Linked DNA regions of Mus musculus. Each later gene encodes a partner of the first gene's protein in a complex. Links are inferred from orthologs where the notes say so. Each region holds a gene or a part of one and is shown on either strand. Other genes may lie near its edges.

Region 1 (4,608 bases):
GGGAAGAGGGAGAGAGAGAGAGAGAGACAGAGACAGAGACAGTAACAGAGAGTGCATACCTATGTACTATATATCTAGGGGCCTTGCTCTGTGCCTGCCTGTTTCCACACTAGTTTACATCCTGTTTGTATCTTTCTCTTTGTGCCTGCATTCACTTTGTGAGTTTTGTATATGTGATTCTTGTGTGCACCTCTGAGCACATATCCCTTGTGTCTCTGTGTCTCTATACTGCGCCTGTCTGGGTATCTCTGTGTATGTTCTGTTTATTTGCAGGAATGTGTCCTCATGTGTCTCCTTGAGTGTCCATGTGTCCCTGAGAATGGAGAGACAAGTCCTTGGAGACAGCTTGGGATGCTGAGTCCTGGGGTGTCTGTCTGCTCTGGCCTTTTCTGGTTGGACAGGTATCCTAGCAACACTTCTGTGAGTTGCCTAGCAACCAGGTCCCCATCCTTAGAGAAAGAGCAGGGTCTGGCTGTATGTGGGAGATCTGGCTCTCATTCAGTACAGACAGCAAAAGCAAGCCTATGATTTGATGATGGCTAGAGACTCAGCATAGGGTCTCTAGCCTACATGACCTTAACTTACGGCTTTTTTTTCTCAGTGGACTGTGACCCCTTGTGCTGGCAAAGAAAGAGGAGCTTAGTATCTCTGTGTTTTCTAAGATCTAATTCTGGGAGTTAGCTGTGGTGTAGCTCCAAGTGACCAGCAGACCTGGCTTTCCTTTACCATGACATATTGACAGGCAGCTTCAGACTTCAGAGACATGATGCTTTCATTTGTGAGGATAATATGGGTGGTAATGGCTACATGCAGTGGGGGTTCCTGGGTTCAGTTTTGTCTTGGGCTTAGTGTACATTAGGTATAAATAGCACATAATAGATTCAGGGCAGTATTTGGTCCTTAGTCCAGACAATCTCTTGCTTACTTGCAAGAAAGCCTTTCCTTGGAGAATTAGTTGGGTTAGGGTATTGCTGTCTATTACTGTGGTACTCTGCTTTACTGGACAGTTCTGGGCAGGAAAGCTGGCAAAATATGGTCTGGGCTAAGCTGGACAAAACAACATTTACCAGTGATGGTGGTGCACGCCTTAATCCCAGCACTCAGAAAGCAGAGGCAGACATATCTTTGAGTTCCAGGACAGCCAAGGCTACACAGAGAAATCCTGTCTCTAACCCATCACCCCTCCAACAAAACAAAACAAAACAAAACAAAACAAAACAAAACAAAACAAAACAAAACAGAACAAAACATTTTCCTCACATCTGCCTCTAGGTGAGCATTTCTCTGTATACATCTTAAGTGTGTTCTTGTGTCTAAGGCTGTGCATGTATGTGTGTCTGAGTTCCTGTTCATGTCTCCATTTTTGTGTTTATAGATGTCTCCACTGTGTGTCCCAGATCCTGAGTGTGTCTGTCTTGTGTGTCTTGTGTGAGCCGATTTTTTTTTTTTTTTTTTTTTTTGGCTTCCTTCTCCAACCTGCGCAGCCCCTCCTTCTCTCAGCCGCAGCCTTCTGCCCCTCCCCCTTCTGGCTGCCGCACTGGCTGCTGCGTCTAGTCAATATCTTATCTTCGGAGCAGGAGCTAGGAGCCATTCCCAGCCGGAGCAGACCCCAAGCTAGAGTGAGAAGCATTACTCAGTTCATTGTGCTCCTGCCTGCCTTTCTGCTAAGCATTAGGGTCTGTTTTGGCCCAGCTTCTGAAGAGGTTGTGTGTGCTGTTGGAGGTAAGAGGGGCTCTAGTGAGGGCTCCTGCTGCTGCTGACAGAGCTGGGGGTGGGGGAGCACTGGGAGGTAGGGAAGTGCCTGAGCCCTAGGCATTTCTGGGTAAATTCCATGTCTTTTGTGCTCCAGTGTGCCTTAGGATGGTTTGGGCATTTTTTTGTATTCGGCTGACTGTGAGCCCCTGAGTCTTGGTGGGTGGACATGTATGCTTGTGTAGCTACCTCCATGTTGCTTCTGTGCGAGTCTATCACCCTAATATGAGGTAAAATTGTGAGTAAATGTGCCCCCATGCCTCTGTGTGTGTCATCATGTGCCCATGTGTATGCCTTTGTCTGTGTCCATGTGTCTGTGTGTGGATGCCCATCGAGGTGTTCATGTGCCTGTTAGTGTAGTTGTGCTGTTCTAAGGCCTCAGTGGACTGTGTCCAGCACTGTGGTCACTTCTTTCTGTGTCCTGTTCCAGGAACTGTACTGAGTGGCTTTGCAGGGTGACAGCATGGAGTCCCTCTTTCCTGCCCCATTCTGGGAGGTCTTGTATGGCAGCCACTTTCAAGGGAACCTGTCTCTCCTAAATGAGACCGTACCCCATCACCTGCTCCTCAATGCTAGCCACAGTGCCTTCCTGCCCCTTGGACTCAAGGTCACCATCGTGGGGCTCTACTTGGCTGTGTGCATCGGGGGGCTCCTGGGGAACTGCCTCGTCATGTATGTCATCCTCAGGTAGGCGGGTCCCATCAATCTGTGAAGGGGGAACCTGAGGCAGGAGGCTGTTCTGGATGAATTCGAACAAGCATGGATTTTCTGCTTGCTCCATCAAATTTCTTCCCTCTCTGTTCAAGGGACATGATCACCCTTGAAGTTCAACTCCTGTTCTGCTCCCATCTGTCTCAGACTAGGTGTCACCACCTGGAGGCTTGGTACTGCAGATAAATCCATGCCGTGATGTCTATGTGAATAACCATGGGTACAAAGGATCCTAAGATTTCCCAAAGAGAGGAAGAGGGGCTGGTGCTGGGCCTGAAGCCCTTGTTCATTGGCCTTTAGGATCTATGCTCATGGTGGATGTCTTTAGCTGAGCCCATGCTCTATTGGTGCTCAGAAATGGGAAAATTTGGAGGACTACAAAGAAAGACAGCAGTACTGGATGACTGAGGTAGCGTCGACGGTGAGGGGAAGAGGGCAGTGTGAGGTACAGTTCTATGGACAAGAAAGCTGGGCAAGGAGTATGCAATTGGTAAATGTGTGGTGGCAATGATGGTCTCTGTTTTTTTCCAGCTGGGAGGGCATTGAGGGGAACTGGAGACAGCAGGTGAGGACTTGAATGCCAGAATGGGGACGCCAAATTCTTTGGACATTGGGAAGACATGGGAGGTCCTTGAGTGGTGGATAACTAGAGCAAGGTTCTTCACTGATATTTCCTCTTTCAAAAAGATGACTCTGAAGAGAGCAGTCATGGTTCCCTTGATGGTATCATGGTAGGTGTGGTATTGGTAGAGGAGGAAGGGGCAGTACAGTGTCCATACCCTGCCTCATTATGGTCCTCTTAGTATTTCTGAGCAACTGTTTTCTCTGTTTGTTAGATGGGAAATGTGGATTATATAGTCATATATAGGTGCATGTGCACAGACGTGTGTATATATATATATGCTATGTGATTGGAAAAGCATTCCAAGTATTGACTTTTGGCAGAGGACCCTTGTGGGAAACTATTCTATGATCCATGTGTCTCATGGTTAAAAGGATATGTCTTTGGCAAGACGTGCAGCAACCAGGGACAGTTTGTGAGCCTTGCCTTTCCTTGTCATCAGCATTTCTCTCCTATATTGTCCTCTGCATTTGGGATATTAAAATTCTTGAGCCATTTACTGCAGTAGAGTAGAGAAGGAACGCCATCTTTTCCACCAGCATCCCCAGAGAACTAGTCTCAGAAACTGCTGTGGCTGCACTGGCTCAGGAGACAACACACGGCATGTTTGAGTTGGATGTGTGCCAGGAGTCAGAAAAATATGCTCTGAGCCCCATTTTGCACCTTAGCAGTTCTAAGCCTTATGAAAGCTACTTAGTTCCTCTGAGTCTCAGCTTCCTTCTCCACAGCGTAGAGATTAAATGGCATTTTTGCTTTGGGGTAAACCTCAAATGAGATAAAATCTATGTGAAGAGCTTGGCTCAGATATCTACCATTATCATTAACATTGTTATTTATTGTAATTAAGGTCTCTGGGATTAATGTCTAAGAGACAGAACTTAATCTCAGATTCCCTGGTAGCAACTAAACATCATGGACTACTGTTATCTCTAGTGCTACCACCACCATACTGCCATAACCACCATAACCACTATAACCACCACCATTACCACCATCACTTTCATCATCATCACTATAGTCACCCTTCCCTACCACTGTCATAAACATTAATTCATTCCACTAATATTTATAACTTATAATGTTCCTAGCATGGTTCCCAGTGCTTGGATACAATCAAACCTAACTAGCACATCTCCTTTTTTCTTTATTAGAATAAAAAATATTGTGTTTATTTTTGGGTATGAGTGTTTCTGCTGGATGTATAGGTCAGATGAGAAAGTTGGTTTTCTCCTTTTACTATGTAAGTTTCTCCTTCTACCACATGTGTCCTGGAAATGGAACTCAGGTCATCAGAATTGGTAATAAGTGCCCTTACCAGCTGAGCCATTTGGCTGGACCACCATTTTCTGTTTTCATTGCTAGACAACATTGTGCACTTGGAAGATCTTTGATGAACTTTACAGGCAGTGCCCTGAAAACCCTCTGAGAGGAGTCTTAAGAGAGACTGAGGAGAGAAGACAGCATCTCTCTCTCTTGATTCCTTCCACAAATTCACATTCAGGTTAGATATGTACTCAGGTACT
Region 2 (3,811 bases), on another chromosome or scaffold:
GCACCAAAGTCATGGCCAGTGGCTCCGGGCAGCTCAGCCCTGCTGACCCAGAGCTTGTGTCAGCTGCTCTTTACCAGCCAAAGGCCTCGGAGATGCAGCACCTGAAGAGAATGCCGCGTGTCCGGAGCTTGGTGCAAGTGCGAGATGCAGAGCCTGGCGCAGATGCTGAGCCTGGCGCAGATGCTGAGCCTGGCGCAGATGACGCTGAGGAGGTGGAGCAGAAGCAGCTGCAGAAAAGGTTTGGGGGCTTCACCGGGGCCCGGAAATCAGCCCGGAAGTTGGCCAACCAGAAGCGGTTCAGTGAGTTTATGAGGCAGTACCTGGTCCTGAGCATGCAGTCAAGTCAACGCCGGCGCACCCTGCACCAGAATGGTAATGTGTAGCCAGAAGGAGCCCCTCCCAGCTGCACCGGCCACTGCAACCCATGAGTGAGTTGGGCACCAACTAGCAGGGGGCAAGAAGTGACTTCATTTACCCAGCTGTCTCAGACTTCTTCCCAGGCCTAGAAACACATTAGCCAGCCCCCAATCTCTCTCTCACGCGCGCGCACACACACACACACACACACTCACACACACACATTCACCACCCAATCCCTCTCCCCACACACATCTCAAGGATTCCGGTCCTTGAGAGGTTTGGTTGGTTGAAGAAATTCACATCTCTGCCTCTCTACCCATTTCTCCAGGAAGCAAAGTTTTTCCCACCATTCTCCTTGAGGCTGACCACTCCCATTCAGAGACTGGTTACCATGGGGATAATAGTAGTATGTTAAGATAACTAATTCCTCTATAGCCCTCCAGGAGCTTAGTTACTATGGGGACAGTTAAGTGGACCAATTCTAACAGCCGGTTACCATAGCAACCATTCAGCTCACCTTTCCTCAGAGACTTTATCTGCAAAAAGCCAATAGCCAGCCCTCCTCTTAGCCATTTGCAAAGAGGCCGATTACCGTTCTGCTTCAAAGACAGCTTATCCACCTCACCCTGCATCGCAAGGTGGCTGGACTCCATGGAAACCGTTACTATTTCCCATTTGCCCTTGCCAAAGACTTTTTGTTGAGACCCAGAGTTATGCTTTTTGCTCTCATTTCTTCCTCTAACACTTTGGTTACCCTGGCACTTTGCCAAGGAAAGACCAGTTCTTTATCATTAATGGCGTCCTCGCTGAACCGGGATTCCAGGATTTCACCTAACGGATCGAGTGAGTTATAAAATATGTACTAATGAAGGAATTTTTTTTCCTTCAGTTTTTTGCCTCTTTCCAGGATAACATTTGTGATCTTTTCCTACCCTCCGGTACACACACACTCATATAAAGTCTATCAGAGAACTCAGAAGAGAAACCCAATTACAGTTGGCTGACTCCAAACCCAACTCTCACCAGTGCACTACTGTGGACTGGCATTAGAAATTAATAATTCCCAGTTAGAAAAAACCCAACTGTCAGGTCTGTGCCCCTTCATGTAAACATCTCCTGAGACAGCTTGGGGGCCAGGGGGACACGCCTTATACAAAAGCACCAGTTAGTCTGACAATATGGTATTGTCCCAACAGAAGCTATTCCCCACTTCTGAGGCAGAGAAGAAACAAGCATGCAGCCCCTTTTTGCTTCTTGCGCACCCAAGGCAGCCATGTCGTTCATAATCCTCTTTCGAGGTAGAGCCATCTATATGCTAATCTTTGGTGCCCACACTCTCCCATACAGACAGCCTGCATAGCCCAAGCTGTGAGGCTACTTGTCTGCAGCAAGCTTATCCCCCAAAATGGACACCCTTACTAGGTTTCGGGGAGACAGTTGCTGCATTTATCTTAACAGAATGATTCATCTCTGAAGATCTCAAGTGAACTTGCACACGCTGAAGTCACAACTTCTGTTCTTGGCAAGCAGTCTATTTCTTTCAAAGCCAGACCTATCTGATATCTAGTAGTAAATCTTCCAGAAGTAGCATGAATCCTTCGAAATCTTAATGACATTCTTCAAAGGGGCTCTTAAGGGACACCAAAGCTCATATCTAACTCTAAACCACAGCAATATTCTTTACAGTTTAAGATCAGTCCCATTAGCAAGAATCAATTTATTTGGAAGGAAAAAGAAAAAAAAACCAAGCAAACTATTTGAGCCAGACAATTGGTTTTTCTGATTTTCTATTATACTTCCAGCTGAGAGGTGCTGTAACAGGGCTAATAAGCTCCTTCTCTCGGCTTCTCTGCTTAACATGCAAAATTCTTCATGGATACATTAGCCAGCTCATTTGGGTATTATTAATGGCTGTCCTCTCGTCTCTCTCTCTCTCCCTCTTCCCCCCTCCCTCTGTGTGTGTGTGTGTGTGTGTGTGTGTGTTTCTGTCTCTGTGTCTCTGTTTTTGTGTCTGTGTCTGTCTCTCTGTGTCTCTGTGTCTCTGTGAGTGTCTCTTTCTGTCTCTGTGTCTCTTTCTGTCTCTTTGTGTCTGTGTCTCTGTCTGACTCTGTCTCTGTCTCTCTCCCTTTTGACCTCCCCCTCCCTCCTCCACATGCATGGTGCTGAGTTCCAGAGTGGATGTTTGTTAATAAGCCTGGCACAGCCAGAGGAGACCTTGTGTTTATGTGCATACACACAGCCCAACCTGCCATGTGCGTGATAGAAATCCTCCCCTGCTAGCCAGCTCCCATTGCCAAAGTTGTTCTTGGCGTCTAAGATGCTATTGCCAATCAATGCTCAGAAGATTGGAATGAAGAAAGGGGGCCACCCAACGCTGGAGTGGAATGGAGAACCTATTCCAAGTGTAATGATGGCCTAGGAGATGGGCCACAGTAGTGCAGACCCTGCTTTGGACAGAGATCTTGGGGACAGCCTCTCCTCTGACCTGTACTTCCAATACTCTTCTTCTGCATCTGGTCTTGACCTTCTAGACATTGGCATCACACTCATGATCCCACAGTCACGACATCTAACTTAGATAAGCCACATAAGAGAACTGTAAGGACTCTGTTTAACATAGACGCTGTGCCAAGAACTGGAGAGAGATGACTGTTACAGTTAAGAGGCATGTCACTGTGCCTTTTATGTCACAGTCCATCACCCTCCCTTTTATCCAATGCATCACCCCTGTCAGAAGTAGGCAAAAGTGGTAGGTAGGTGGAGGGCATCAAGTAAGGACCCCCTTCTGGTCACTTGGGAACCACTTGCTGCAATGGCCTACTTTGGGTTGCTTTAGTTCCATGGGCAAACAGGGTGGACGGCTCAGAAGACCTATCGAGTTTGACATTTTAATCATTTCTGTCTCCCCAGGCATCCAGGTGATCCCCCGTACAGCATGTGTCCACTCCAAGACCTGCAGGCCGGGAGTCAGGATTCCTCCCTCCCCGAGGCACTGAGCACCCACAGCACCTCCCTGCCCGGTTGTTGCCCCTCCCTCATGGCATGTCTCACCATGATCCTGTTGCTACATCAGAGTGTATTTTTGTAATTTCTCCAGCTAACATTTTAATGGCCCCATCTTCTCACTCATCTTCTGCCCTCTCATAGGGCCAGGTGAGAGGAACATGAAATCAGACCTGGGGTTTTGCCTCTTCACTGCCATAACTTGTTTGTAAAAGAGCTGTTCTTTTTGACTGATCGTTTAAAACAACTTTCTCCATTAAACTTCTACTGAGCAAATGGTTAATAAACTTGCTGCCTTTTTTTTTTAAGATTTATTTATTTATTTAACGTACGTGAGTATGCTGTCTTCAAACACGTATCGGATCCCATTGCAGATGATTGTGAGCCACGATGTGGTTGCTGGGAATTGAACTCAGGACCTTTGGAAGAGCAGTTAGTGTTCTTAACC

The links.
Region 2: the proteins of Oprl1 (region 1) and Pnoc are in contact, whole or in part, in a cryo-EM structure (PDB 8F7X), measured with the Homo sapiens proteins. The link is inferred for Mus musculus from reciprocal best matches to the Homo sapiens genes OPRL1 and PNOC. Residues at the interface, in NP_000904.1 of Homo sapiens: Gln107, Asp110, Gly114, Phe115, Trp116, Val126, Ile127, Asp130, Tyr131, Met134, Gln192, Glu194, Ile198, Glu199, Cys200, Leu201, Val202, Ile219, Val279, Gln280, Val283, Gln286, Gln291, Pro292, Ser293, Val298, Leu301, Arg302, Thr305, Tyr309; in NP_006219.1 of Homo sapiens: Phe130, Gly131, Gly132, Phe133, Thr134, Gly135, Ala136, Arg137, Lys138, Ser139, Ala140, Arg141, Lys142, Leu143.

Annotation. Positions count from the first base shown.
Region 1 is NC_000068.7:181,713,508-181,718,115, forward strand, and holds the start of Oprl1 (nociceptin receptor), read left to right. Parts: upstream 1-1,508; 5' UTR 1,509-1,722; intron 1,723-1,840; exon of another isoform or gene 1,841-2,182; 5' UTR 2,183-2,215; coding exon 2,216-2,439; intron 2,440-2,994; coding exon of another isoform or gene 2,995-3,028; intron 3,029-4,447; exon of another isoform or gene 4,448-4,586; intron 4,587-4,608.
Region 2 is NC_000080.6:65,401,321-65,405,131, reverse strand, and holds part of Pnoc (prepronociceptin isoform 1 preproprotein), read left to right. Parts: coding exon 1-383; 3' UTR 384-428; intron 429-3,270; coding exon of another isoform or gene 3,271-3,356; 3' UTR 3,357-3,811.